Linked DNA regions of Nothobranchius furzeri. The main gene of each other region encodes a partner of the protein of the gene in region 2 in a complex. Links are inferred from orthologs where the notes say so. Each region holds a gene or a part of one and is shown on either strand. Other genes may lie near its edges.

The links.
Region 1: pbrm1l (region 2) and smarcd2 share a complex: the UniProt entries of both Homo sapiens proteins name them as parts of the SWI/SNF-B (PBAF) chromatin remodeling complex. The link is inferred for Nothobranchius furzeri from reciprocal best matches to the Homo sapiens genes PBRM1 and SMARCD2.
Region 3: pbrm1l (region 2) and smarcc2 share a complex: the UniProt entries of both Homo sapiens proteins name them as parts of the SWI/SNF-B (PBAF) chromatin remodeling complex. The link is inferred for Nothobranchius furzeri from reciprocal best matches to the Homo sapiens genes PBRM1 and SMARCC2.
Region 4: pbrm1l (region 2) and smarcd1 share a complex: the UniProt entries of both Homo sapiens proteins name them as parts of the SWI/SNF-B (PBAF) chromatin remodeling complex. The link is inferred for Nothobranchius furzeri from reciprocal best matches to the Homo sapiens genes PBRM1 and SMARCD1.

The regions. Positions count from the first base shown.
Region 1 is NC_091756.1:35,526,435-35,533,778, forward strand, and holds part of smarcd2 (SWI/SNF-related matrix-associated actin-dependent regulator of chromatin subfamily D member 2), read left to right. Parts: intron 1-2,990; exon of another isoform or gene 2,991-3,062; intron 3,063-4,265; coding exon 4,266-4,385; intron 4,386-4,983; coding exon 4,984-5,079; intron 5,080-5,281; coding exon 5,282-5,383; intron 5,384-5,476; coding exon 5,477-5,638; intron 5,639-6,490; coding exon 6,491-6,588; intron 6,589-6,795; coding exon 6,796-6,931; intron 6,932-7,012; coding exon 7,013-7,135; intron 7,136-7,344. UniProt on the Homo sapiens protein: Involved in transcriptional activation and repression of select genes by chromatin remodeling (alteration of DNA-nucleosome topology).
Region 2 is NC_091743.1:66,060,014-66,067,357, forward strand, and holds part of pbrm1l (polybromo 1, like), read right to left. Parts: coding exon 7,301-7,344; intron 7,213-7,300; coding exon 6,933-7,212; intron 6,843-6,932; coding exon 6,737-6,842; intron 6,526-6,736; coding exon 5,886-6,525; intron 5,104-5,885; coding exon 4,892-5,103; intron 4,811-4,891; coding exon 4,619-4,810; intron 4,526-4,618; coding exon 4,368-4,525; intron 4,280-4,367; coding exon 4,037-4,279; intron 3,113-4,036; coding exon 2,967-3,112; intron 2,895-2,966; coding exon 2,737-2,894; intron 2,360-2,736; coding exon 2,176-2,359; intron 2,087-2,175; coding exon 1,879-2,086; intron 1,782-1,878; coding exon 1,583-1,781; intron 1,508-1,582; coding exon 1,358-1,507; intron 1-1,357. UniProt on the Homo sapiens protein: Involved in transcriptional activation and repression of select genes by chromatin remodeling (alteration of DNA-nucleosome topology). Required for the stability of the SWI/SNF chromatin remodeling complex SWI/SNF-B (PBAF).
Region 3 is NC_091743.1:50,344,679-50,352,582, forward strand, and holds the start of smarcc2 (SWI/SNF complex subunit SMARCC2), read left to right. Parts: upstream 1-2,773; 5' UTR 2,774-2,822; coding exon 2,823-2,933; intron 2,934-3,863; coding exon 3,864-3,983; intron 3,984-4,084; coding exon 4,085-4,170; intron 4,171-4,291; coding exon 4,292-4,373; intron 4,374-4,763; coding exon 4,764-4,856; intron 4,857-4,938; coding exon 4,939-5,008; intron 5,009-5,102; coding exon 5,103-5,172; intron 5,173-5,338; coding exon 5,339-5,414; intron 5,415-6,001; coding exon 6,002-6,246; intron 6,247-6,351; coding exon 6,352-6,476; intron 6,477-6,634; coding exon 6,635-6,688; intron 6,689-6,852; coding exon 6,853-6,890; intron 6,891-6,956; coding exon 6,957-7,087; intron 7,088-7,324; coding exon 7,325-7,396; intron 7,397-7,497; coding exon 7,498-7,611; intron 7,612-7,690; coding exon 7,691-7,844; intron 7,845-7,904. UniProt on the Homo sapiens protein: Involved in transcriptional activation and repression of select genes by chromatin remodeling (alteration of DNA-nucleosome topology).
Region 4 is NC_091743.1:58,865,793-58,873,565, reverse strand, and holds the start of smarcd1 (SWI/SNF-related matrix-associated actin-dependent regulator of chromatin subfamily D member 1), read left to right. Parts: upstream 1-3,187; 5' UTR 3,188-3,230; coding exon 3,231-3,416; intron 3,417-7,773. UniProt on the Homo sapiens protein: Involved in transcriptional activation and repression of select genes by chromatin remodeling (alteration of DNA-nucleosome topology).

The DNA.
Region 1 (7,344 bases), on a different chromosome or scaffold from region 2:
TTTTTTTATCTTTAAAATATTTTTATAGTTGTTAGAGCACTGTTGAGGCATGAAAAGAAGAATTTTAAGCTAATTTAGTTTTACAAATTTGCCATTGTAGCTTTACTTTTAGCTAATTTACTGTAAACTGTTTGAACGTGTAAAATGTGAAGTTCCATTGTTGAATATATTTGAGTTGAGTAGCAAACGTGTTGTTTTGGTTTTTGTGTCATTTAATGTCTAGGGCAGGGATTCCCAAAGTGTGGTGCGCGCACCCCTGGGGGTGCGCGAGCTGCCACTAGGGGGTGCGCGAGGTGAAAAGTGTAATGGCTGCGGAGCTCAGAGAAGTCTGTCATGTGTCACTATTATTGTAGAAACTCATTTGTGGGTGGGCCAAAGAAAAAGTAAGTGGGCCCAATAAATGTAATTGAAAACAAGTATATTTTTGCGCGCGCGCGTCCTCCACATGTGCCCTAGCTTCATAATAACAATGCGCCGAGCTTCAGCACTCTGGCCTGCGCACGCCGATATGTTCCGTCGCGCGCGCGTGTCCTCCACATGTGCCCTAGCTTCATAATAACAATGCGCCGAGCTTCAGCACTCTGGCCTGCGCACGCCGATATGTTCCGTATTTGATCATTTTTAACGGTGTTGGACGAATCTGAAGGTGGCGAGTCATTCTGGCAGATTGTAATTAACACCTGTCTCATGCAGGTGTTCTGACATTGTAAACCTCACACACAGAACATTGTGGATGTAACAAAATAACAAGAAATGATTCCCATTCAGGCTATTGACAGCGCGCTGAAGATCTGAAGTTCAGAGTGCGTCTGTCAGAGGTCAGACGTGTTCCAGCGGAACCACGGCTCACGGGTGCACATGTGAGCACATCTGGGCTGGGCAGAAGTTTAAATAGCGCCAATAACGAGACGCGCGCACACACACAGATTCAATAAGCACGCACGCTGCTTTAACTCTGGCGCGCCGTCAGACTGAAGGCAGAAATGAACGCTGCCTCCACCACGATAAAAACTTTTAAGAGGTTATTTTTCATTCAAGGTCAATTAAGATATTAGCTTCTGGGATGAGTCGGGTCCGCTACAGCCAGTGACTCCTCATGAACCTGACCACAAGTCCTGTTACTGCAGCATTTGCTATTCCAGTCCGCATGGCAGCGGATCGCAGATTCAGCCACACCATAAAACAGCAATAAGTCGGTCTGAGGTAAAAGTGAACATCATGGCTATATCTTGTCCCCTATTGACATTTGATTACGCACAAGTAGGTGATCAGCTCAGGTTTACGCAGAGCAGAAGGAAGGAGAGCGCTCTGGCCGCACAGGTTAAACGTTCCTACTTTAAGAAAACCGTTAAATTGCATTATTTATGTGCTACCTGGGCACTCTAAATATTTATTTAAAATGAAATCAAAGGAAATTGTAATGGTATCGAATGTTTAGTATTTACTATTTAAAAAATGAAAGTGATGGGGAATTTTTTTAACCCTGTCTGTTTAGCTTGACATCTGATATATATATATATATATATATATATATATATATATATATATATATATATATATATATAGAGAGAGAGAGAGAGAGAGAGAGAGAGAGAGAGAGAGAGAGAGAGAGAGAGAGAGAGAGCCATGCCCCGATATGTGTGTGTGTGTGTGTGGGGGGGGGGGGTGCATCGACATGGTCGGGACATAGAAGGGGGTGCGCGGCTAAATAAGTTTGGGAACCACTGGTCTAGGGTGATGAACCATATGATAGGTTAGCATCCTTTATGAGGTTGTTTGTGCTGCAGGAAAAGAACACTTTTATCGATATCTGCCTTACCCCTCATGAGCCCTTGCGTAAAATTTGCAACTGACCTCCAGTCTGGTGTTTATTAGGAATCATAGATGGATGATGCCATCTGTTCCTGGTAGTTCACATTTTAGGAGATTTTTAGAGACCTACATTATATGGGAACACCAGCTGTCATAGCTCAAATGGGATGTCGTTACAACCCCCTGACTACTGCAACAGAGGGATGTAGGATGGTATGGAAATCTGGTCAAAGCTAACGCACAGTAGCATTTTTAGCCACTTTATTAACTCTGTCTCATCCAATGGTGAGGCAAAGAACAATCTTTAAAGCTCCGAGGCTTATCAGTCGCTTCATCGTAATATACTTGGTCATGTTTTGTTGAAATAAGTGGGACACAATCTTATTTACTTAAAAGCAGACATAAAGTCAAGTCAAAGCCTTAAATCCCTCATCATTAAGCCTGGGTTTTAGTTTTCTACATCAGGTGAAATACAAGACCGGGTCCTCCATTGATGTACAGTGGTCCCTCGCTATAACGTGGTTCACGATCTGCAGTCTCGCAATTTTGCAAATTTTGTTTTGTGCAATTTTGCATGTATTTTTTTAACAAGGAATTGTGTTCTGCATCCAAAGGTACCAAGGTTTGAACTTTGACAGTATTTAAACAAGAGAGAAAGGTGTGAAAATGTTAATGCCTGTCTGAAGTGTACAAAGTGTGTAGTGAGGGGTTTTACTGCCTTAAAACATTGCAGAGTTGTGCTGGGACGAGCACGTCTGCGGTGGAGAGGATAGTGGCTGTGTCAGCGGGAGCGCGCTGTGCCATGACTGGAGCACATTAGTAATCAGCGTTCCTGCAGCTTTATATGCAGGAGGAAGAGACGCAAATCTCTACAACGAGAGCCTGAAACGCTGCCGTTAGTGTAAAACATGCATGCGTGCTAGAAATAAAACTGTTGAGAAACAGACATTCTGGTGTGTTTTTGTGTGTGGGACCCCAATAGTAGCTGCGTACGTTACAAACATCTATAATCATTGTAAAAAATGAAGCTAACTATTTTGCAGATTTCCCCAATTGCTGGTTATTTTTAGAATGTCACTCCAGTGATTACCAAGAGATACTTTACAGCAACCTGAAAGAAACTGAGCAGGGTTGACTTTTCACAGCAAAGAGAAACATCTGGAATAGGCTGACATCAGGCGTTGGTGGTATAGTGGTTAGCATAGCTGCCTTCCAAGCAGTTGACCCGGGTTCGATTCCCGGCCAACGCAGGTTTCTTTTAAACATTTTTCTGCAGGTTATTTTTAGAACGTAACTCCTTTGATTAACAAGGGACCACTGTGCAGCGAAGTGGAGTGGATGTTACAAACTTGTAGCTCTTGTAGCCACAAATGGAACTTTCAACATGTTCCCAAACTGTGGGAGTACATTTTCGTGGGGAAATGGTGATTAAGATTCCCTTGGAATGTCCAGATAAACTGCTAAAAGATTCAAAACCTCACCACGCAATCCAGTGGCTATGAGCTGCTTCTGGTATCTCACCAGATGTTGCACACATCATCGTTTCTACATGAGGGAGCCCAGGAATAAGGTGGATATGTCAGGAGAGACACCCCGGTTTATGAAGACAAAACCAGCACAGGCACAAGGATGAAGGGTGGACAGATCAACTATTGAATCTGTTCTAAAAAGAAAGGACATGCCAGTGAGCTCAGCAACTGCTGTCAGATCCACCTCTTGAAGAAAAAATAACTGAGCAGGGTTGACTTTTCACAGTGAATTGAAACATCTGGAATGTGCAAACATTAGGTGTTGGTGGTATAGTGGTTATCATAGCTGCCTTCCAAGCAGTTGACCTGGGTTTGATTCCCTGCCAATGCAGATTCTTTTTAAAGGTTTCCCTGCAGAGGGACGAATAAAGACTTATTCTGCTTCTACTAGAAAAAAGTTAATTTGGAAATTAGCTACAATTCACTTTGGAAAAATGAAACTGAGATGAACTTCAGGAAATCTGAGAGAATTGAGAAACTTTCATGATTCAGAGTTAAACACGTGGAGTCAGTGTGATACAATGGTTGTTCTTAGCTGCGGCTGTTAGCGGATGATGCGACAGGAGGCAGAAGCAGCCTGATAAACGTGTGACATAAAATAATCTGCTCAGATTGGGTCAGATGCAGTGAAGGTGACTGGATGGCCTCTGTCAGCACTGATAAAGAAGTTCAACAAGTTTTTCTTGACTTAGGAATGAAAGAATCTGCACCAACTTTCTCTTTTCATGTGAAAAAAAAAACTACAGCAGAAACATTCATGACTGCAAAAAAACTTTAATTTGGGCAAAGTGTTTAAAATATTAGGTAGCCTGTGACTGCAAATGATTATATCTTCTCAGGTGAACAACAATTTGACTGAAATGTTTTGTTCTAAATGAAATGTTTTTATTTTATTTATTTTTTTTTATTTTTTGCATGACTCAGCAAAAGCGAAAGCTTAGGATCTACATTTCCAACACTTTCACTCCCAGCAAACCTGACGGCGAGGAGGCAGAGAAAGTGTCCTCGTGGGAGCTGAGAGTGGAAGGCAAACTCCTGGAGGAGGTAAGAGGGCGTCTGAATGTTCTTGCTTTGTCTCACAATCGTCTCAATGTCTTCTGGCCCCAAATGTTTCAGCCTGTTGTTTTTCTGTAAACTTCAGTTGGCCTGTGTCCTTGGCTCAGACCACACAGCCAGATGTGTGTTTGCAACACACACACACAAGCTCATGTTGAAATAGAGAATTGAAACCACTGGCCGTTGCATACCATGAGCTGATATTCCTCCCCTCCCTCCATCAATTCCAGCTCAGCTCATTGTGTCATCTGGGGCCACGGAAGATGGATGTTTTCTTCTTCTTTTTTTCCTGCTAATTTTTTCCCTCCTGCTCGTTGGGTTTGAGCATGTGTAGGAGCTCCACATGGAGCAGAGGCAAAAAGAAAAGGGGAAGGAGTGAAGGAGGTCGCATTGAGCAAACAGACTTTGACAGGGCCGCGGGGGGGTGGGGGGTGCAACAGCTTTTTCTACTCAACAGTTTGGTTCCTCACCCCTGATGTGGTCAGAGCTAAACAATGCAGCCCCAGACGAACTCTGCACAGCAAGGGAACACTCATGGTTATGTGTTTCTCTGTCTGTTGTATTTTCGTGTTTTCTGTGTTTTCAGCCTGGAAAGCAGAAAAGAAAGTTCTCCTCTTTCTTCAAAAGTCTTGTGATTGAGCTGGATAAGGAGCTTTATGGACCTGACAACCACTTAGTAGAGGTATGACAGGAGGAGGCGTGAAACAGCCCCGAACACTGTTGGTTAGGGTTAGGATGCTGTGTGAGCTCACACACAGTTCTATTTTCAGGACTTGACCAAAATGACTAAAACTTCCATCGTTTCTCGGCACAAGATGGTTTTAATTTAAAACTTGACATGAAGATGGCATTTAAAGGTGTGTTTTTATTGGTTTCTTCTCCAGTGGCATAGAATGCCCACCACTCAGGAGACAGACGGTTTCCAGGTCAAAAGACCCGGAGACGTGAACGTCAAATGCACTCTTCTGCTCATGCTGGACCACCAGGTACCTCCCTGCTAATAACACTGTTCTAAACCATCTGCATTATTTGACGATTTCACTAAGCTAACCTTGTTCCAACTTTAAACCTTTTGTCAGCCCCCTCAGTACAAACTGGACCCACGATTGGCCCGTCTCCTGGGCGTGCATACGCAGACTCGGGCCAGCATCATGCAAGCTCTCTGGCTCTATATCAAGAACAACAAGCTGCAGGACAGTCATGAGAAGGAGTACATCAACTGTAACCGCTATTTCAGACAGGTAAGCTCCCACTGGGAAGGGAATGAGACATGCTGGCATCATAGAAATGAAGTTTTGCTTGTTTTGTTTTCTATCCAATGTAAATATCTTAAATGTATCAATGAGCACAGTTTAAGTTTTACAACAAATTGATGTTAAAACACCAATAAATCAAATCTTGAAATAAATAGTTGACACCATCCAACTAATAACTGATCAGCTACATTATGACCTCACTTTGTCCCACTAAACCAGTTCTGATCCACTGGCATATGCCCTCCAGTCCCATCTAACCATTACAGTAGACACGTTTACATTATTGGAACTTCCAAGTAGTTTGACCAGACCTTTGTGTCATGCGCGTGTCTCCATTTCACCAGGCTGGCCAGATAGGACCATTTTCTGGGCCATTTCAGATACCTGAGCTGGGGTAGGTACTCGGCTGGTAGAGCCGCTGAGCGGGCTTGTTTTTAACTCACGCTGATTGGTTGTATTCGCCAAATAACTGGCCTTTTCAAAAATGGGAAGAGTTGTTGGTGAAGATGAGTGGAAGTGAAAGAAAGCAAACAGCATTAATGCTGCTTTGAAATTGCAGTTTCTGAAGGTTCAACGCATATAATGCAGTGGAAATCCCCCACAACGCCATTATCCACACTGCTTTGTCAAAAACAGCTTCTTCTGGTCATTGAACGGCACTTTTTACTTCACACAGCTGCTCTCCCCGTCCCCTAAACTCCTAAAATGGAAACAGGACTCATGTAGTCCTGGTCTTAGCTTTAGAGGGCTGGATATGAACTCTGATGGATTAGTTATCAGTGTTTTTTAACATCACCTGTCTTAAGTGCTAATGCGGTTTAATAAAATTGTGTTCAGATCTTCAGCTGTCCACGCATGAGGTTCAGTGAGATCCCCATGAAGCTGGCGGGCCTGCTGCAGCATCCTGACCCTATTATTATCAACCACATCATCAGGTAGGGTCTCATCTTACAGCTTCAGACAATCTCTGCTTTCAGACACACAGTGTCACCACACTTGGTGAATAAGGTTCATAGCTGCTCCTACAGTTAATAAACACAGATGTACGTAGAACCTTAGAAACACTTTCTATTTGGTTCTGAGCTGAGATAAGGTATAAACCCGTCCTGTAGTCACCACCAACTCCTTTGTTCCCTGAGCAGCGTGGATCCCACAGACCAGAAGAAAACAGCCTGCTATGATATTGACGTGGAGGTGGACGACCCTCTGAAAGCTCAGATGAACAGTTTTCTGTCCTCCACCACCAACCAACAGGAAATCGCTACTCTTGAGATGAAGGTCGGGTCTAATCTGGATTCATACTAAAATGAAACGAGCCTGTAGAAACCTGAAACGTCTTCCTTTGTTGTTTATGTTCAGATTCATGAAACAATTGAGTACATCAACCAGCTCAAGACTGAGAGAGACTTCATGCTGAGCTTCAGCAATAATCCACAAGAGTTCATCAAAGACTGGCTGAAGTCTCAGAGCAGAGATCTGAAGGTAAAGAAATGTCTGCTGCAACTACCATGTTATCGTGACTCTTTTGTCTTATTTTAGTCCCTCATTTCAGGACAAACTAAATAAAATGAAATGAAGTTGAGTTAAATAGCAGAGACAGGGTAAAATGAAGTTCCTATGTTTTTTTTTATCTGATTAAATCAAGTGTTTAGATCTTGACTCGTTTAGATTTCCTTTACGGCTTAGACGGC
Region 2 (7,344 bases):
AGAGCACAACATATCCATGCATAAGTCCCATGCAGATGACTCTAGACAACATGCACTAAGACACACAGCGACCCTTATCACACACTGACCTCAAAGGACTCAAAATCTGCATTTCAAATAATTCATGTTTTAATAGGTTTTATTTATTTGTCCCGTTCATTCTGGTGCCGATCTCCCTCTTTCCTATTCATTTTCTCTCTCCCTTTCCTTACATTTTTTATCACAACTTTTATTTTTAGTCATTTTAAAGATATTTAAAAAAAAATTATATTTGTATTTTTTTGTTTTGTGAAGCGCCTCGTGACTTTTTTCCCCGAGAGGCGCTAGATAAAATACTATAAAATTATAACTAATAAGATACTAAATTCATATTCTCCAATTTCTGTCAGAATGAAAAACAGTACTTGGTTAAAACATATTACAGGTAAAAAGAACACTGTTTATGCTTTCTCCAGAAAGAACCAAGTTCAAATGACGATGCATATTTTCCCTGGCAAAAGGGGGCAGTACATACATAAATCATTGCAAGCAAGCAGTATTGTTGTGTTCCAGTAAATCCTTACCGGCAGATGGCCATTAGGGTAAAACATTCCTGGGAGCGTATTAGCGTAACCTCCAGCAAGACGACAAGCACATCAGACTCTCTTTCATCATAGCAACCAGTTAGTGAGCTCTTTTATTGACGCCACGTTTGTTTTGTTGTACCCACAAACCCGGCTCTCTATCTGGTCTGAGTTCTCTAGTGAGCCCCTGGTGGAACACTCCAGTACTACATGCAGTGTCGTGTAGCAGCAAGTATGTGAACAAAAACGCTGCCTGCGCCAACGCGAGGTTAAACAGCAAGTTTATTCCAGGCCTTAGACCTGCTCCCATGTAATTTTATGGTTATGTTACGAAGCTACCAATATTTTTCAACAACTGGGCACCATTTAATTCAAATTTCAACAAAATTCTGATGGATATTTCCAAAGATTAACGTAAAAACTACACATTGTCACTTTGAATAAATGGAAACTTGACTTGGACTCATTTGTTCTAGCAAGATTCATGGTTCAGTGTGTGAAAAGGGGTCGATGATGCAAATGGTTGAAAAACATATGAGTGTAAAAAAGAAAAAACTCCAAAATATTAAATGGAAACTTAAAACAAAATGCATTCATGGTTAAAAAAATATGAATCATGCAACCGTGCAGTTTATGTAAAGACAATAATTAAAACGTAAATGGCATCAACAGAAGAAAAGAAGTGGTTTAGGAGTTTAAACAGGTTAGAAAATGAAAGGATTATGGTTCTAGTCCAGCTTCACTTCCCTGCTGTCTTGTAGTCAAACACTGGTTATGTCTCTCTGAGGGGTTACCTGACACAGGTGTGTGGTTTATCATTCCCATAGTGCTAGGCAAAGGCACCACCCCCATCAGCGCCCCTACGGGGGTACCTGCTCTGGGGGAACCGTGCTTGAAGAACGGCCTCTCGCGCTCCGACTGTTCCACTATTCGGGCTGCGCGCTCTGAAACGCAAAAAATCACTTCGCTTAAATTCACACAAAAAAATTGAATTTAGTCGTTGAATGACTTCAAGTCACCTTCGTAATCCGCTTTTTTGGAAGCCTCAAGGTTTCTCCACTCCGTTCCTACGAGTCGACTCAGCTCCCCAAAGGAGAAGTCGGGGTGTCGAGCTTTGATGACAGCTCGCATCTCGCTGCTGAACAGGATATACCCGCTCATGTTGATCTTCCGCTTGGCTCCTTCCTTCTTAGCTAAACCCTTCATCTTAGGGGTGGACTTCACGAGTGACAAAACACACACGTCGTATAGATTATAACAGAAGCAGTAGCTGTGTGGAACCGTTAAAAACAAGATTTCAGTTGGTCTCCGATACCTGAGAAGGCGTGTAGGACATCGCGTCCATGTCGTTGGAGAGAGGAGTTTGCACCTGAGGCAAAGAAGGTGTGGATGGAGCTTCCTCGTCATCCTCCATTTCTTCCATGTCATCATCGCCATCCTCCAGGTCTGCCAGCTTAACCTCGAGCTCGTCTATCTTCTTGTCCAAAATGGGTGACGCCTCCTTTTGCGGCACAATTAATTTCCTACAAATCGCACCCAAACAAAAGTAAAGACAAACCAGGATGGGGAGGGAAAAGATTCCGTTTTACGTCAAAAATAATCCCGTTCACACCTGAAGTAATAGATCTCATCTTCCACCACTTTGGAGGAATACGAGAAGCGTTTCAGGCCCTTGAACTTTTTCATTTGCTTCTCGGCTTCGATGTAACGACTCTCACACAGCAGGACGTCATCCTCAGAAAACTCGGTTGGTCTGCAGGACAGGTAGTCCTTAAAAGAGGAGACCACACATTTGCCTGTGGGCAGAATTGAGCTTAATTAAACTGTTGAAAGGATAAAATCTGTCATTTTAACTGAATCTGAGAAGCGGCACCCTACAGAGATCGTTTCACATCTGAGAAAACTCCCTTTAATTAGCTTTAAATGTCAGACCACTTCTTAACCTTATGCAACATTTAATGCTGGTTTTAATATACTAAGCCATCAAAAGGTTCCCAACACACACACACACACACACACACACACACACACACACACACACACACACACACACACACACACACACACACACACACACACACACACACACACACACACACACACACACACACACACACACACACACACACACACACACGTCATTATTTAATTAAAGAGAACGATTTAGTAATACCTATGACACAGGTCAGGGGCAAGGTCTCCTCCAGCTGACTCAGAAACACTTCTTTCTTGTAGAACATCTTTGTGGGTTCGTGCTCCGTTTCTTCAGGGTGAATGAAAATGGGTCCAAAGAAGAAGGTGGCTCCATTCTGGACCCACAGCTTCTCCATCCTGCAGAGCAACCAGAGGACGATCAAACCCAAAACAGCACCAGCACCGTTTTATTAAGTCCTCCTAACCCACCTGGCAACCCGAGGTTTGGACAGGCCGTGGGACCGGATGTAAACGAAGTCGCCCACTTTAAACCAGGAGCTGTTGAAGCGCAGCTGTTCATAGTGCTGGCAGCCAGGTTCTGACCCGCTCGTCTCCATCGGGACGTCTTCCTTCTCCTAAACGAATTCACATCACCACACAGGAGGAGTGTTTACATTTAGATACCCTCGAAACGTGCCACTCAGCTCTGTCAGGACTTGTATTCTACCAGATGATCATTTAATTAATACCCCGTAGTAATGGCAAAGTGACACCATTTGTCTTGAGCGATAAACCTCTAAGGATTGCAACTGTTAGTCTAGCAGTCCAGTTTTGCAGGACTTGTGGAGTTTAAGGTGCATCACCAGATACTTTTCTGGCTATTTGTGCAAGCTGCTCTTTGAATTAACACAACTCTGAGGTCCAACCCCCTTTCTCCCATCGGCCACGCCTCCAGAAGAAAAGAAGGCATAAGGTTCAGTTGGTCCATTTTCTGCCTTAATTCGTAGCATAACACACCTACATAACCATATACGACTACGTACGCTAGCTAAGTTAGTGTTGGGCAAAAAAAAAAAAGGAATTTTTAGCAATCTTGTTTGTTTTTAACTGTAAAATCACAGCAGCTCAGCGCCACAGACAGTCTGGGAAAACCTCAGAGGAGCAGCTTGATGGAAAGACCACGATCAAATCATGAAGAACAATGATTGGATGAGGATTTTCCAGGACCGTACCCTTCAGGGTAAATTAAAATGATTCATTTTTTGACAAAACGTTTAGATTATTAGTCGGCATTGGTGTGTGGAGCATTTCAAACAATATGGCTAAAGATGCTCCAGAAGAACATCTCCTGCTGCACCTCTGATAGTAGTTTATTTGTGACGTCTGGTATAATCCAACAAACAAAAAAATATTTTTTATTATCTTCAAGACTTCATTGAAAGTAAAAGTAGCTTAAGCTTGATTCCTATTGGATAAATACAAGTAAACAAAGACTAAAGGTCGATTAATCCATTTCTGTAAACATCAAACAGACCAACTATTATGTAACGTCACCTCACCTTGTCCACAAAACTGCCACCATCCGAGAATGAAAGCATCAACTTTTCCAGGTCCGGTTTGGCAAACATGGAAGCAACACGGACCACTGGAAGGGGAACCTCTCGCGGAACCATCTGCGCTGAACTCTCAGGCATGGCCCAGATCTTGATCTTCTTGAAGATCTTATTTCTGGCCGTGTAGCGTGACTCGCACACGAACACGTCCTCGGCTTTAAAACCTTCAGGCTGCATTCTGAAATAATCCTACAGAAACCAGAAAGAGGTTCGAATTCTCGTGTCTACAGAAAACAAGTCACTTACGTCGGGCGTTGAGTTTAAAGGAGAGTCTTGCCTTCACAAAAACCACAACACATCTGCCCAGAACTTTACTGAAGGACACTTTGTTGTAGTAGTCGCTCTTGAACACCTCCTTCTCCAGAAACTTGCGAGTGGCCAGGTGAAAAGTTTCACTGGGCCTGTAGAACCAGCAGCCATAGAGCCACTTCTCACCTTCAGACACACACAAAAAGTGATTTTATACAAAGCTTAAGACACAGATTTATAAGAGAGAAACAAACAGTTAACAGGTAAAGGCTCGGTTACCCGCTTCGTTCTCCCACAGACGCTCGATACAAACAATGTGAGGCTTCAGGTTGGGCTCCGACGGCTCCACATAAACGAAGTCTCCTACGTGGTAGGTGACGTTTTCAAAGCTGCAGACCTGCACGTAGACACGCTGAGACTCAGACTCAGGCTGCCACTCCTCTTCTGGCAACTCCTCTGCTTTCTTCTCTTCTAAAAGTGAGGAACGTGAAAGTTCAGCGACACGTGCGACACTCTCCACACCCAACGTTTTGTGCCAAATGTTTTCCAAACCTTTCTTCTCCTCCTCTAAATTCTTCTTATCCTCCTCGACCTCTCGGGGAATTTTCTCCCTCTTCTCCTGATCCACGTCGCTGTGCAGGTGCTTGACGGTGTAGTTGAGCGCGGAGGAGAGCAAAATCTCTCCGTTCTTACAAAGCTCGTCTCTGATCTTGATGAAAAACTGCTGAAGCTCCACAGCATCGTCAAACACCTCGGAGTCGGTCCTGCGAGCCCAGAGAAGACACAGAGGCACGTTTCACCGGCTCGCTTTGCAAGAGTTACGTTTTTCCAAGCTGATCTGGTAAATACATAAAGTATGTGATTATGTCGAAGCCTTACGCAATCACCACGTCTGCCTGCAGATCCTAATAGAGGTCGCTACCTTATTTTGGCGTCTAATTTGGCGTCGCTCAGAGACTTAGACCCGCTCCCGTGTATTTAAGACCCAGTTTTTATGGTTACGTGTAACAAAGCTGCCAGTATTTTCCAACATTTTGACGTATATTTCCAGAGATTAATGATAAAAACTACATATCGTCTCTTTAACTTTGTGCACTGTCAGTATTTATTATCCAGATGTTATTAGTGAACATACAACTGCATTTAAATTAAATGCTGTAGCAGCATCGGGCTGCCCGAAGATGTGCCTGATATATCAGGCCGATGTAAAGCCGATTCTATCGGTCTACCTTTAGATCCTATGACCAAAAACGTAGATAAACAAGCTGGAATACATCAAATAAAGGATTTTGTTATAATTAATGCACTATAAAAGTTTGGTAACCGTTTTCTGGATCCTATCAGCGAAACGACACTAAAGGCTGAGTTTGGATCTTCCTGTGTGTGAGCCAAGCTTCACTCGCTCTAGTGAAAATAAGACCGATTGTGGTAAGGTACTACAGTTTATAGCTATTCCATCTATCCTGTGTAAAATCTGTTTTCCATTCCCTAAGTTTTGTGTTTCTGTCTTTACTGAATAAAGAGCTTCTCAGATGAGCTTCCCTACCGGTGCAGCCTTCTTGCTTTCTCCAGCATCTCAAACACGTGCTCCTGGAAGACGTCCAGTCTCCTGTAGCGTCCTCGCTCCACGTTCATCCTGATTATATCGAAGTTGAGAGGCGGCTTTTCGGGGGCAGCTGGATCCACAGCTGGGACTTCAGCCAGCGAGTCACTGTAGCAGCGACCCTCCTCGTCCTGGTGACCCATCATGGACACAAACAGATTCCTGATGAGCTCTCGCACCAGGAGTCCCACAGCGGGAGGACCCGAATCCTCTCCTCGCTCCTGCTGCTTCCGTGTCTCCAGCAGCACTCGGTGTAACACCAGAGCATCCCGATAGATCAGAGACTCAGGCTCGTTGTAGACGCAGGCGTTGTGGAACATGAGGGCAAAGTCCTCCACCAAAGCGTCCACGTCTTGGTACCGGCCTGCCGCCAAATGGCTTCGCACGCGATCCATTTCGATTGGTCGCTTGATGGTGGCGTAGTAGTCGGGCAGCTCGGCGCGAGAGGGCAGACGGAGAAAGATCGTGCTCAAGCGCCGACCTCGGCTGTCGGTGAAGTTTCGCACGGCATCGTAGAGCTCGTTTAACTTCTGCTGGAGAGGAGTTAGGTATTTGGACTTCTTTGGAGAAACGCCACTTTTTCCTAAAAAGAGACAGAATTAAAAAAAAACAGATTCCAGACAAACCATTTTTAACAGCTACATAAAAGCTATGCAACGTGTGCGCGTAACGTGGTTTCAGATTTACAAAACCTTTTATTTGTTAGTTTGCTACAGTTAAACAGGAAATAACATTCTAATTATTTAAAACAAACATCCAGACTTGAGTAAACTCACTACACCAGTAACACTTACGGATTTTCGGTTTTGGTGATCCCACGTCCTCCTCCTCCGGTGGAGGTCCCAACTCCTTACGCTTGTCTTTTAAAATCTTCTCCAAAACATCTGCGTCATTATAAACCTGCAGAAACAAAAGCCGGGTGTCACATGGACTTCTTCTGAAATTCTTTTCGTTCATTTTTTTTCACAAAATAAAAGTCCCGCTGCCGACCTGAGACCCCTCCTCGTTGTAATGCCGGGCATTTCGGAACATCCGCTTCATGTCGTCCATGAGCGCCTCTTCTGTAGCGTAGCGTTCGTTACGAATGTTGTACTCAATAGTTTTAAGGTCCATCGGCTCCAGGATGACGTTATAATAGTCGGGGTAGTCCTTCTTGGATGGCTTCACCATGAAAAGATCACAGAGACGCCGACTGGACCCCACCTCCCTGGCATCAGTCACGGCAGCAAAGAGCGCTTTCATTCGATTCTTTTTTACATTTTTCTTGTGGCTGGACATAATAAATAAATAAATAAATAAATAAACAAATAAATAAATAAATAAGCAACACAAAAAGGCTTCATGGTTTCACTTCAAACCTTTTCTTCTTGACACTCCCCGCATCGGACGACAAAATGCTGTC
Region 3 (7,904 bases), about 16 Mb from region 2:
TAAGTTGATAAAAAGTCATGGTAAAAGGAAAAACCAGTCATGTATGACTAAAGGAATAAAAAATGCTTGTGCAAAGAAAAATAAATTGTATAGGTGTTTCTTAAAATTGCAAACAAAAGAAGCTGAAGGCAAATATAAAAAATATTAAAATAAAATAACGATAATTAGGAAACAAAAAAGAATTACTGTGGTGAACTATTGAATAAGAATAAAGATAACATAAAAGCTACATGAGGGATAATAAATAGTGTGACAAATAAAGATAAAACAAAATCAGTAATTCCTGATTACTTTGTCAAGGAGAATAAATGACTTTTTTGTAAATGTAGGTGCGAATTTGGCAGGTAACAAACCAATAATAGAAGTTAAACTGAAGACAGTAGTTTATAATGTTAATAGTATTTTCCTTGACAAGGTAGAAAAAGTAGAAATAACAAATATTGTAAAAAACTGTGGAAACAAACAATCAACTGATTATGAGGACTTGGATATGATGACTGTAAAAGCTATAGTAGAATCTGTTATTGACCCGTTTACTTATATCTGCAATCTGTCACTTTCAACAGGAATTTTCCCTGACACAATGAAAATTGGTAAGGTGGTTCCATTGTTTAAGGGTGGGGATAAACACAATTTCTCCAATTACAGGCCAGTGTCACTGCTTCCACAGTTTTCCATAATAATAGAAAAAGTATTTGTATCAAGGTTGGATAAATTCATTGAAGAAAATAATATTTCAAATAATGAACAGTATGGTTTTAGGACCAAACATTCAACAGCAATGGCAATAATGGAACTAATAGACAAAATATCTACAGCAATAGACAATAAAAACTACTTCATCAGTAAATTTGTTGACTTGAAGAAAGCTTTTGATGTTATCGATCACTCGAGGTTACTTCAGAAATTACATCAGTATGGAATAAGAGGTGTGACGCATCAATGGGTTAGAAGTTATTTAGAGAATAGAAAACTATTTGTCCAACTAAACAACACTAAATCAGAACTGCAAGAGATTGATTATGGTGTGCCACAGGGATCGGTCCTTGGACCTAAACTGTTCATACTATTTATTAATGATTTTGTAAGTGTATCTAAGCTGCTCGGTACTGTTTTATTTGCTGATGACACAACATTGTTCTATTCAGGGTCGGATATTAATGAAGTAGCTAGAGTGTTAAATGATGAACTGATAAAAGTTAAAAACTGGTTTGACATAAACAGACTTTCACTGAATCTTAATAAAACAAATTTTATATTGTTTGATGACAGAGTCAACAAAGATGTAACAATAAAAATAAATGGAATGAACATTCAAAGGGTGAAAGAAATGAGATTTTTAGGAGTCATGTTTGATAAAGCTATCACCTGGAAGTCACACATAGGTTATATCAGAGGTAAAATTGCCAAAGCCATTGCAGTACTACATAAAGTTAAGTTTTTACTGAATAGTTCTGATTGCTGACTTAGTATAACTCACTAATTGTTCCATATTTGAATTACTGTGTAGAAATATGGGGATCCACATGTAAAACTCATACACAACCACTCTTTATTCTACAGAAAAGAGCATTGAGAATCATTAATAACAATCACTATGGAGATCCATCCAATCCGTTATTCATCAAATATAAACTAATGAAATTTTATGATCTAGTGAAAATGAAAATATTGCAAACAATGTATAAAGCTAAAACCAATACGTTACCCACCAACATTCAGAAAATGTTTGAAAAAAGAGTCAGTAATTATTTCTTAAAGGAACTGAAGTATTTAAAAAAACGAAATTTAGAACCAGAATGAAAGAAATGACTATCTCTGTAAATGGCGTGAAGAAGAAGAAGAAAATATCATTTCTATAGCGCCTCTCAAGATAAAAATCATGAGGCGCTTCACAAAAACAAAAACTATAAAAAATTGTAAAAATATAAAAAATCACTTAGAAAATGTTTAAAAATATATTTAAAGTGAGCAAGAATAAGCAATTGAGAATATGGAACAACCTTAGCAAAGACATAAAAGAATCAAAGTCACTAAATATATTAAAAAAATGTATCAAATCAAGTGTATTACAGAACTACAATAACCTAAATTAAGTTGGTGTCTGATTAGGTCTGTAAGTTACAAGAATATATAATGAATCTGTGTTTTGTTTTGTTGTTTATTGAGAATTGTATGGAAGCATTATTAAAAAGTTTGGTTTGTCAATAGGGGTAGATAATGTAAGATATTTCTTCCTTCTGCCCCTTTTCATTCAAATTGTTTGGTGTTCATGTTTATGCATGTTTTTGTATGTTTTTTGTATATATATATATATTTTGACACTTTGAATGAAACAAAGAGAAAAAAATTATAATTATCAACAAATAATAGAAAAAATGGCTACTACAAATTTCAAAATGACTAAAAGTAAGTGGATTGTTTGTGTATGTGTGAATATAGTAATTATATTTGTTTTATTATTGGGTTTCTGGATAAAATGGGCTATAAAAAAAGCACAAATGGGAACATACATGAAATGCACAGTTTTATGCCCTTCCAGATCAAGTCTGTATGTGCAAATGTATTTTATCAGCAATAAATCAACGCAGCTCCACCTATTAATAAAATCACGATTATAAAAAGTGTAAATTGTGCAACTACTTTCTTACAAGCTGAAAGCAGGTTTTAAACTATGTTGCAGGATAAATTATTATCTGCACAACTCTGCCCCCTGCTGCTCGTCTGCCGTCGACACAGCGCTTTGTGCTATCAAGCTATTGGAGAGACGCCCTCTGTCCGCCAGGAGGCAGCCAACACCGACTGGTAGTCTGCAGGCAAAGATGGCGGTGCGGAAGAAAGACGGCGGCCCCAATGTAAAATATTTCGAAGCATCTGACACCGTTTCGCAGTTTGATAATGTCCGCGTCTGGCTGGGCAAGAATTACAAAAAGGTACTGAGCGCATGTTTTATAAGCGTGCTCACGGAGCTTTCTTATTTTGCCCAGAAACGTACGCGCTTACCTATGGAGGCAGAGGCAGTGACAAAGAGAGGAGGGAGGGTGCTGCTGAGCGTCCAGCTGTTTGATTCACTAAAAAAGGATGCTGAGCCAACCGCAACATCAGACGCGGCCGCAAAAGTCGGTGTCTGTAGGTCTTGCTGTAGCCAAAAGGATCCAAAGACACCACACAGTCCCGCCGGAGGGAGCGGAGTTTAGAAAAAGAGATATTTTTGGCAAAGCAGGCTAGCTAAGCTAATCGGCTAACGGTAACGCGGCTCACATCCAGATGTTGGCTGTGTGGCGCGCCTCTGGCTCTGGAGTCATGAGCGGTGTTAAATAACACTGACCAGCGCTTTATCACGTAGATTTAACAAAACATGGTGTTAATGATCAAAAAAGTCACAAGTATCCATTCATTAATGATGGATAATTGTGGAATTAATCACATTTTATTTAAAAAGATCTAAAGCTTTTTACGAAAGAAATCTAGTTTTCCTTGTCCACCGAAGTCTCCATTATCCAGTTACAATAACACACTTTAATAATGACTAGAATAAGAAACAAACAAATACACATATGTGAACACTGCTCATGTGTATAAAAGAATGCAGAGATTTAGGCAATAGACAGTTAATGAGATAGGATTCACAAAAGGACGATGGAATAAATGCTTTATTTATATAGTGTTGCTAATGTATAAAACACCCATATGAAGCGAGGAATGAGAAATATACTGAGTTTACCCAGCAATAATACTATATAAACTGATAAACATACAGATCCATCTACATTATTTACACCCATAAATAAAAGATGCATACACAGGAATAGTGATAAAAGTGAAACTTCCAGAGTTCCCATAAGTTTTTCCCATCTCCCCAGTACATCCAGGCCGAGCCCCCCACCAACAAATCCCTGTCCAGCCTGGTGGTCCAGCTGCTCCAGTTCCAGGAGGAGGTGTTTGGCAGACATGTCAGCAACCCTCCCCTCACTAAGCTGCCGGTATGTCACACTTATTTACCCCCACCCCTCTCTCTAACAGATTACTCACCCCTTTGCCCTCAGGCGATGTAATATGAAGCTGTTTTATTTTCTTTCTGCAGATGAAGTGTTTTCTAGACTTTAAATCAGGGGGGGCTCTCTGCCACATTCTGGCTGCTGCCTACAAGTTCAAGAGTGACCAAGGATGGTAAGAGCTTCTTTCTGACTGGTCTCATCATGCATCTTGAGTGAAATAAAAGTGGCAGTGCTCTGCTGCATTTAGGCTGTCCTGCTGTTTTGTGTGTAACTCCAGTTTAATTTCCTGGTAGGCGCAGGTTTGACTTCCAGAATCCATCGAGGATGGACCGAAATGTGGAAATGTTCATGACAATTGAGAAATCTTTAGTACAGGTGAGTTTTTCTCACTGATTTTATTCACCGTTAAGCTTTTAAAACTCATTCCTTGGACAGTTATGCTGTAATAATTGTTTTTCATCTTTGTCAGATAATTGTGGGGTTTTTCTGATTTATTCTAAACATTTAAACATTGAGGTTTTTGTTTCTTTTGTGTTTCTGCGAGTAGCCGATCTAAATAGGTTATCTGTGCTGGGAACGCTGCTTGTCTCCTGTTTTTACATCACGTTTAGGAAGTGTCTTTAGAATCAGAGTGGTGAGATTTAAAGATAGAAATAACAAAAGACAGCCTTTTCTCTGAATCAGACACACTTAAATGCTCATTTATAGGATTTGAACCATAAAACTAGAGTTACAACTTGAGCTGGTTCTCCTTGATTCTTGTAGAACAACTGCCTGAGCCGACCCATCATCTACCTGAGTTCTGACATTGAACCGAAGCTGCTTGGAAAACTGAAAGACATCATTAAAAGACATCAGGTTGGTTTTTGCATAGTTTTTTTTAAACAAAAGTGTTATTCTGCTGTGCATGTATAATCCACACAGCCTTTTTGTGCTGCAGGGCTCCGTGACTGAAGACAAGGCTTCCAGCTCCCACGTTGTGGTTCCCATCCCCACCAGTCTGGAGGAAGGTGAAGCCTTGTTATGTTGCTCAGCTCGGGTTTCTTATGAATTCTGCTGCTTTTCCACTTTAGTTCTAATACAACATGATATTTGTTGGTCCAGAAGAGTGGGTGCGTCCTGTGATGAAGAGAGACAAGCAGGTCCTCCTCCACTGGGGATATTTTCCAGACAGGTTGGTTCTGACTTGGCGCTTCAAACACAGCAGCGGCACACGCGTTTTTACCATTGAATGAGTCCTAAACGGTCTTCTTTGTGAGCTCACTGAACCTACACATTGCTCCTTGTGTGGTATTCTCACAAGCCTTGATGTGTATTTTGTTCCCTTCTGTTGTTTTTAGTTATGACACGTGGATTCCTGCAAGTGAGATTGAAGCTGCAGTGGAGGATCCTCCGAGCCCAGAAAAGCCCAGGAAGGTCTTTATTAGTTTTATTTCTAATCATTAGTTACTCGTATATATATATATATATATATATATATATATATATATATATATATGTATGTATCTATATACATATATATATATATATATATATATATGTATATACATATATATATATATATGTATATACATATATATATATATATATATATATATATATATATATATATATATATATATATGTATATACATATATATATATATATATATATGTATATACATATGTATATACATACATATATATGTATATATATATAAATATATATATATATATATATATATATATATATATATATATACATATATATATATGTATATATATATATTGCCTGTGCCCACCTTTTCAGTGGTGTTTGCACTAAGTAAAGCAGTAGTTGTCGGGAATACATTCCTTTTTTAAGAGTGCGGTATCACCACATGCTCATTCTACAATATGTCCAATGTTTGAATCTTCACAATCTAATAAGACGTGACTAAACTTACATAAACTCTCCAAGTGACTGTAGGTTTTGTTTTTAAATAGTTGCTCACTGAAAAACGTCTAAACGTTTCTGCTGGCAGGTCCACGCCAAGTGGATTCTGGACCTGGACCAGTATAACGAGTGGATGAACGAGGAGGACTACGAGGTGGGAGACGGTTGTCCCAAGAGGAAGAGGATCTCTGCTAAGACGCTGACGGATGAGGTGACCACACCAGATGAGCGGCGGGACAAGAAGCCCGGCAGTGCCAAGAAGAGGAAGCGCTCGCCCTCCCCCTCCCCCACACCTCCCCCACAAGAGAGCAAAAAGAAGAACACCAAAAAAGGGTGGGCTATAACTCCTGCAGCTTACATGTTCTCCTCCTCTGACTGCGAGGAGGCACGGCTGGTTTGGCTGTTGAAAACTAGCCTTGTTGTTGTTTGTGTTAACAGACCCACAACCCCATACACCAAGTCTAAACGAGGCCAGAGGGAGGAGGAGCAGGAGGATCTGTCCAAAGACCTGGACGAACCATCGCCTGTTCCAGCATCTGAAGAGGGAAACATGGCTAAAACCAGTATGCATTAATAAAAAATACACAAAATAATATATATATGTAGGGAACAGACTAACACGTCCATATTTCCTTCATAAATCTTAAGTGTGTTGTGTTTTAATGAGTTTTATTGTTTCTTTTAGTCTTCTTGTGCTAAATGAGTAAGTTTGACATTGCAGACAACACCAAGAAGGATTCTGACTCAACCCCTGTCAAAGGAGGGACAGACATGGGTGAGTTTGTTCAAACATCTATAAATCTTTTTTTTTCTTTAAAAGGTGTCACTAAAGCAGATAAAATAGCACCAAAGTAAAGGATCTAGCCTTTTACATAGTTGAAAGGCTCATATAATGTTCCTGTAAGTGTTTTTAAAATGTTTTTGTATACTTTTGAACAGATGAGCAGGAGGATGAGTCCATGGAAACCGCAGGAAAGGTATGGAAGCCTTTAAAGGTGAACGCAACAATAACGAATGATAATTAACGCTTATTGTTTGATCAGGAGGAGGAGGAAGGCTCTCCGAGTGTAAAGGGTGAACCTGTGAAGGGCTCCGACTTTCACGAGGACAACGTGACTGAGCAGACTCACCACATCATCATACCCAGCTACGCTGCCTGGTTCGACTACAACAGGTAAGGGAACTCATTCGTTTGTCTAGTTTCTAGTTTGGGTTTGAAAAAATGCTGCAAAGCTACAAAAAATACTAATAATGGTTTATTCTCTTTAGTGGAAGTAAAAACATTGTTTTGCTTAGTTTATATAAATGTACTGGCATGCATGAAATATTAGATCTATAAATAGAATGTGTGTATTCCAGTGAGTGTGTCACCATACTTCACCATACTAACTGTAAACCCTTTCGTCTGCAGTGTTCATGCTATTGAGCGAAGAGCTTTGCCAGAGTTTTTCAATGGGAAAAACAAATCCAAAACCCCTGAGATGTGAGTAATTCATCGGTGTTAAACACATTCCTGCTGCAGATCCGTCCACGAGACGTTTAGAAGTTAAAACATCATTTATGGAATATTTCTCCTCGTTTTAGTTATCTGGCATACAGAAACTTCATGATTGACACCTACCGACTGAACCCTCAGGAGTACCTGACCTCCACCGCGTGCCGCAGGAACCTAGCAGGAGACGTGTGTGCCATCATGAGGCAGGTGGAGGGCTGATCTGTATTCGCCGTCACGTCTTCGACATCACTAACGAGTGTCTCGTTTCTGTATTTCCTGCAGAGTCCACGCTTTCCTAGAGCAGTGGGGACTGATCAACTACCAGGTGGACTCTGAGAGTCGGCCCACGCCGATGGGACCTCCGCCCACTTCCCACTTCCACGTCCTCGCAGACACTCCCTCAAGTCTGGTACCACTGCAGCCCAAAACATCGCAGGTGTAGAAAAACTCCAGTGTGAACACACTAATAGAAATCTCCAGAAGGTATTTTACAATT
Region 4 (7,773 bases), about 7.2 Mb from region 2:
GGTTGTAATTTATGGAGGGGGTGCAAGAAAATCTCTGTTTGTTGTTATGCTTTAATGAAATGTGTTTTGCTGCTGATTTCATCCTTATCTGACATTTAAATCTTGCTGTCTGCTGTCACTGAACACTCACACACTTACACACAAGTTAGAGGTAATGCCCTCCTAATCCTTTTATTGCTTCTTATTATTGACTTGAACACGGATATTACACCCCTGATGAGGTGGGCTTTGTTTTGTTGTTTCCAATACCATAATGTTTGAGAAATAAATACGTAGATTATGGGTAAGTTTGAGTAAACTGTCTCTTTTATCAGTGCCACTGTTTGTATTCACACACTTTTTTTCTTTGAGGTTTCAAGTGCCATGAAAATGTTTGGATTTAGCACGAAATAAAGTGGTAAAATTACTTAAATGCATGTAAATATATAAAAATATAAAATTCCCATCTTACCCTCTGCGGGTGATCTCTTCCATCCAAGCTCGGGTCCTCTAGGGGCCTGGGAGCTTGAGGGCTCTGCGCAGTATCTTAGCTGTTCCTAGAACTGCACTTTTCTGTATGTGTGTGTGTATATATATATATATAATATATTTTACATATATATATATATATATATATATATATATATATATATATATATATATTGGATGGAATTATGATTAAATAATTAGAAATAATTAATATGTTAAACATTTACCACTTGAGCCAGAGCAGCCTCCATTTGGGGAGCAAAAAAGTTAAGCATCCAATCTTATGGCCTATATATCAATAAATTAAGCTACACCTCTGTAAAAACTGCTGAGCCTGGGCTACGCAACTAAATAAATCTTTTTTTATGTGCTCTAAACACAACTTAAACTACAAGTAAATGAATCATGACAAATTGCTCTTCAAGAAGAAAAGAAACTTTATTGTTATGTTTTGTAGTAGGTAGAAAACAGGCAGTGACTTTATCCACATGAACCTTATTACAGCAGGAGGGACAAGCGTACATGCAGCATTCATCTTGTGACCCTCAGCAGAACTTCCTCTGAACTCTACACCACACCTCTATTTATATTAACTGTGATCTGCTGCCACCTAGTGTTCAGTTCTGTACACAGCATTGCAATGTGCCATGTTCATTTACGCTTTGTAAAAAAAATCCCATAATTGTTATCTTCATAGTGAGACAAAAGTAGTCAAATATATCTTGTGATTACAGAAATGTGCTTGTTAAAGAGTGGCTATGTTATCCATGGCTCACTAATTTTATTTTTAATGAAATAAATTTTGGGGGGGCAAATTGTCTTAAATGATTAAAATGTGATTAATCAAGATTAATTAATTACAAAATGTCTGATTAATTAGATATTTTTTAATTGAGTCCCACCCATAATATATATATATATATATATATATATATATATATATATATTCCCAGTGTCCACAGATTTGTCTTTCTCAGCCCATAAACGATGCATCCCATTTGATTTGATTTGAAATTCTACTTATTTCGCAGTTTTGCTCCAAATACTGGAGTTGCTTGTTAAATTTGAGCTATGCTGACCCAAAATAGCCACTTCTGACCCTGAGATTTTTCATTTGCACTGGGGCTATTTTGGATTTCTGCTCACTAGCGACTGTACGGTACAGAAATTAATTTTTGATCCGGCTTCGCCTGTGTGACCGATCAGTCACGTTTCTGGTATAAATTTATCCTGTCAGATCTTTCCATGCAATTAGAGAGCTCAGCCGTTTGTCATTGATAAGGCTGTGGCAGCTCCTCTGGGCTACACTTTACATTCAGCTCATTAAGAGGATAAATTATTGTCATGCAGTCAAGTTTGATACCACTGAAAGATGCCGTATTAGCTGTCAGACTTCAGCCTGCCTCATTTGGCCTCTTGTGTGTTTAAGTAATGACCATTTTTTCAATTAGTTGTTATTAAACACATTTAGAAGCCTGTAGGATAAGCCTGTTCGTGCACCAAGGTATAAAGCCCAAAATGAAAATTATAATTACAGTGTAGATGCTTTTAGATGTCCAAAAACACATGCCCCCCCCCCCCCCCCCCCCCGGGCAGCCAGCAATCTGTTTCTGATCCAACACAAAGAGATTATGCAAACAAATGGTGCCCCATGTTTTGTGCTGCCGATTCTCCATACTGAACAGAGAAAGTGTAACATCATCAAAAGTTGGGGGAAAAAATACATAAACTGTTGTGAATTTTTGCAGGACCGTAGCTCAAAACATTTAAAACTTTGCTCATCTTAGGATCTCTGCATCTGCATACAATCAACAAGCATTCAAAGAGGATCATGAGTCAACTGAAAAACCTCATGGAGGCACCGCAGATTCAGATCACCTCTCAGACACGGAAGCAGTTGGCTCACTAATTTATGTTCCCCTGCTGTGATGAAAGGAGATGTGGTGTATAATTTGTGTGATGTTCCTAAACAGAGGGAGATGGTGCGACTTGCAGTTCATGAACTTCTGATAAAAATTAAAAAAGAACTAATTACTGCAGTCTGTAATGTTTTGATATTTTTCACATTTCAGCATGTATTTTCTCGTTGAATAAAAGTTACGCATCTGCTGATGCTCATGTGTTGCATGTCAAAGTGATTAATTTGTAAATTAATGCAGCTTATTTCAGTTTTATGAGACAAATGGGACAAAATCACTCAAAATACCATTCTTATCTGTGCTTTTCTTCTACTTTAAAGTAAAATCTCTTTTCTTACGGTATTTTCAGTAAAAGTTCCAGAATATGTTGTTTTGGTTTAAAAATATTCTGCAGACTTTGTAGATGTCATAGATGTTACAGATATGTGAGCGAAGTTAGAATGGGTTTTTATTAAATTTTTGGTCTTGCAGGAAGCAATTGAAATGATGCTAAATTTGTATAGTGGACACTTTTTTCAGAGCTCCAGAAACAACATTTGGATCAATTGAACACACCAATTAAAATACAAAAACAATAAAAATAAGTTTTTAGTATGCTTAAAAATGCAAAATTAAGCATGTAGTTGTTTTCTGCACCACTTTGGGCTACAACGCTTCTAATTTATTTATTTATCAGGCTTCATGGATGGTTGAAAGACTATCATCAGCATCTCAATAGAAAAGCTAATTTATTTGTTACCAGATGTGAGCAGCAGATAGCGCTGTTTCATCTCCAACTCTCCCCATTGAGCTTGTTCTCGCGTTAGCTTCGTGCTTCCACCGGCGGCGACACTCAGAGAGGAGATGGCGGCCAGAGGGGGGTTTCAATCTGCTCCGACGGGTGGTGGCGGTGGAGCAATGGGCCCTGGACCGCCAGCAACCGGTGCAGGACCAGGTATGGGCCCCGGTACTCCCTCTGGAAGAATGGGGCCTTCGTCAGCCGCGCAGAACCACATGTACCGCTCTCCGATGCCCGGGCCTGGGTATCCGGTGAGTTCTCGTTCCATGTTTGCTGCTGACGCGTTAGCTTGTTCGCTAGAACAAAGCCCCTCATCGCTCCTTTGTTGCTACTGGCCAACGTTGTTTCTGTTTCTCCATGAGGACCAAAGCTGTGACTAACTCTCAGGCTGGTTGAATAGAGTCAGTCTATCCCAAAACTTATTTTAGCCACTTCCCTTGAGTTACCATCGGTGTGTTTGAATTTGCTAACCCATCCCGCCCGCAAACGTTAAAGTTTTAGTAAGCAGCTAGTTAGCTCATCATGCTAACGTTGCTAATTTGCTCTGTAGTTTGAATAAAAGCACTCCGAGAGGGCTCGAGTAGTGTAGGAAAATTCACAAAAAGTGAGTTTGTTACGTTTGAAAGTCCCAATTCGATTAGGTTTGGGATTTTCTATTTATTAGATGTCTTAAAATCAAAAGTCTGCTTTTGAATGAAAAGTTTACACTGATAAGAAACCATCAGTTTTCCAGACGGAAAAAACTAAATAAGAATAAAGCCTCAAATTCCGTTTTAATGCGTGAAGTTTGTGCTTTTGATCTAATAATATACTGGAAATAATTTGTCACTGATGGATTTTGTACTTTAAAAATATTCTAGTTAAACTTTCAAGCCTCACCTTTATTCTAAATTCTGATTTTCAGATCAGACTAGTGCTACTTAATCATGAGTTAAAGAACAAAAGTTTTCCAGATGTACTATAGTTACAATAAAACTAAAATAATAGTTTAGTCCCGCGATCAAGAAAGTCAAAATATTTCCACCAAAGGACACAAGCCAGCTGAGCAAAGTTTTTCTTTAAATGACAAAGGTAATGTTTTGTGTGTTTGTGCAGACTGATGTTTCAATTTAACTTTTAATATGCAGATGTCTGTTGAAACTACTATCTGATAGGTTTAACTCATGTAATTGGAGTATCAGTTAAAGGTTTTGATCATTCATTTAATCAACTAGCTCAACCTCCTGAGCTACTGTTGCAACAACGAATTGGGGAAAAAAATTGATTAAGAAATGCATTAGCAATGCAGTTCATCATCACTTTGTTGTGTTGTGCAGCTTTTTTAATTTATTTTTTTCATGTAGTGCAACCTTTTTTTTAACAGTCAACGTGTGTGCAGCTTATGGGGGGGGGGGGGGAATTTATGTAACTCTTCTGTTTAGATGTAATAAAAGCTTGAAATTATGAATGATTGGGGGCGTGTCCTTTTGATGGACAAGTAGCAGAGGGCTAGGGGTGGTCGGCGCTAGGGGCTTCCCTCCTGCTTGCTCCAGGGAAAGCTTCAGTCTGCCTTACCTTAACCCTCCCACTGTCCTAATGGGTGTGACCCCATGAGGAAAGTTGACCATTGAGCAGGGTTGATGGTTTATCCCTTGGGTCCATGTGGCATGGGCGACTAGTGACCACCACCTCACCACTGCCACGTGGACTTCAAGGGATAAACAATCAATTCTGCTCAACGGTCAACTTTCCTCGTGGGGTCACCCATTAAGACAGTGGGAGGGTTAAAAGTGTTAGCTTGTCCTGCCAGGGTTGGTCGATTTGTCATGATGACATCAACAAACAAAATAGTCATCAATAAACTTAATAGTCTACGTTGTTTATTCTACGCATTGTTTTAATCTTACCTGCTTCAGCAGTACCACTGCTGCTTGCGGTCTTTCTGTTCGAGGCACGTGCGCAGTAGCGGCCATTCGGGTGAGCCATTGCATCACCGGAAAAACAAGACATGGCGACCTGCAATGTAGCACAAAGTTTGAAAGCATTTTACAAAAATAAGCATGTACAGTGCAAAGTCTGCAAAGTAGGACTTCTTTCACAAGAAGATAATGCTGATGAACGAACGCCTTAAAAGGAAGCACGTCGTGGCAGAGAACAAAGGGGGACAGTCGCCTCTTTAAGCTAATTGCCCCTCGTTAGCTGCTAACATCATCAGGGACAGTGTTTCCCCTAGGAATTTTTCCAGCTGTGGTGGAGGTGGTGTTGGCGGGGGGGGGGGGGGACTATGACACGTCTCACCTTTATGTTAATATTGTTTTATTTGATGCACTCCACTTTGAACTGCACCAGTCCAGCGACTGCTGCAGTGTAATAACTAGTATTAAAGGTGAATACACCAATATTTGCACAAGAATAATTTCTGTTTTAAACTCTCAGTGACACACTTTGCAGGGTGGATTTGGCATTTAATTTTTCTTGGCGTCTGGAAAAACATCTTCTTTTTCCCCCTTTATTTGACTTTCTGCCCCCTTTATTTTGGTCCAAGACCATTACTGGGCTGGCCCTCTTAAACGCGTTCTACACCCCTGCTTAGTAGAATTAATGAAGTATTTTTAAGCCAGTATAAAAATGACTGAAACACAAATTTACATATTTGGCATTATTGACCAATATTTTTGATTTAATTTATTTGTTAAGAACATCAAGATGCATTACAGTGAACATTATAATAAGCTGGGCGGACACTGTGCGACTTTTTCACTCGTAACACAGCTTCAGCTCAAACTGTACGACTTCAGCGCAGGGCAGATCTCACGAGTCATGTGCTCACTGTACATCTGGTAGCAACACATCGGACCTAAAATATGCTAAAAATAGCAGTTTTTACACAACACGTCAGACTTTTTTGTCTTGTTTTGCCTGTTGTCCTTCAGGAGTGCTGCAGGAGGACACACAGGGATTTATGGGGGTTGGATGAGGAAAACGAAATAAAGTAAATCTGTGTTTTGTGATCAGTTTAATTTGACATGATCACGACAAACACACTTTCTTGACAATCATTGTGAGTAAAAAAACGTGTAGAAATAAAAACGAACGTGTGTTATTGGGGAAATAGCGGGTGAGCGGAGTTGATGCAGGATTGCGAATGCGCCGTGAGCGGTTCTGATACTTTTTGGGTTGCAGCTGCTCGCTGCGCCGCTTCAACCCTCATGAGGAACGAGATAAATATCAAACACTCCAGAAGTCCGTGCGAGCTCACGATTGCTGATCGGTAGCTGGTCACGTGGTGTTAATCGCCTCTCGTAACCCCCTGTACACTACACGACGCTCGGCGCAAAACTCGCCCCGATCTTGTGGATTCTCGCACGAGTGGAAAATCTGCTCAAAAAAGTGAAAAAGTCGCACAGTGTACACCCGGCTTTACTGTCTGTGTGTGTGCGTTGATGCCTGGGCCGAGCTGACTGAGCTCCCGGCTGCAGTTTTGTGTGTAGGGAGGGGCGGGCGCTCTATCTGACTGGCCAATCACAGAGCGTGAAGACAGTCAGTTACCCAATGAGGATTTCATTCAGCACGATTACAGATATTTACACAGTAAATACACAGTAGTTCCCGCTGCTTCTTCGGGAAACGGCGCAAAAAAAAAAAAACATCACTTGGGATGTTGTAGGCGTGGCGGTGGGATTTCAGCCGTGGCGGGCCGCCACGGCTACGCCTATGTAAGGGAAACCCTGCCTTCACTAACCAGCTAACTACCAACCTTTCCACTAACTTGTCCTGCGTAACCCTCACCATGTAACCCTCATGTCCATGCTGTCTCTGGAGTAGCAGAGGGGAAACAAGACCTCCTGTAATCTAAAATGAACCAAAGCTTCTTCCCAGTTTTTTTTTTTTACTGAACTTAACATCAGTTTATCATCATGAAACAAAAGAATAAAGTGGAACAAAAACTTCTATCTTCTATTTCTCTCTCCTTTTAACTTATCCGTGTCCCTTAATAAGAGACAGACGATTACGCTGCAGCCGCTGTCACTGTTAAGGTCACTGTTATGGCCAATAACCGATATTTGCTGATACCTATATACTGACATTAATGCTTCTAAAATCAGCAGATTTTGTATAAAATGAAAATGATTAAAACTGAATTTACATTGTTATGTACACACAACCCACACATTTACGGTTCTGAGATTATTACAATCACCGTCGCGTGACTAAACAATTACACATCACCCCCTCACCCTCTGAAACGGGCAAACAAATGGAGATGAGATGGAAAAAACATTGGTTGTTAATATTGGCCCAGTTTTTTTTTTTTTTTTTTTTATCAGGCCGATACCGATATGTTAAAAAATGACTAACATCGGCTGATACTAGGGATGCTCCGATCAGGTTTTAATCTGCCGATCACTGATACCGATCAGCCAAGAGGCTGATCATGGCCGATCAGCCGATTACCGATACCAATTACATAGATTGGCTGTAAATTGTTCATTTAGCTATGGTGAGTTGTAATGCATGTTACATATTAATTCAGAAAAAACATGGTTTTACTTCACTTCAAATTATGTAATATCAGTAACAATTTATAAGAAATTGAAAACATTAAGGCTCTCTGTAGGCTACAAATAG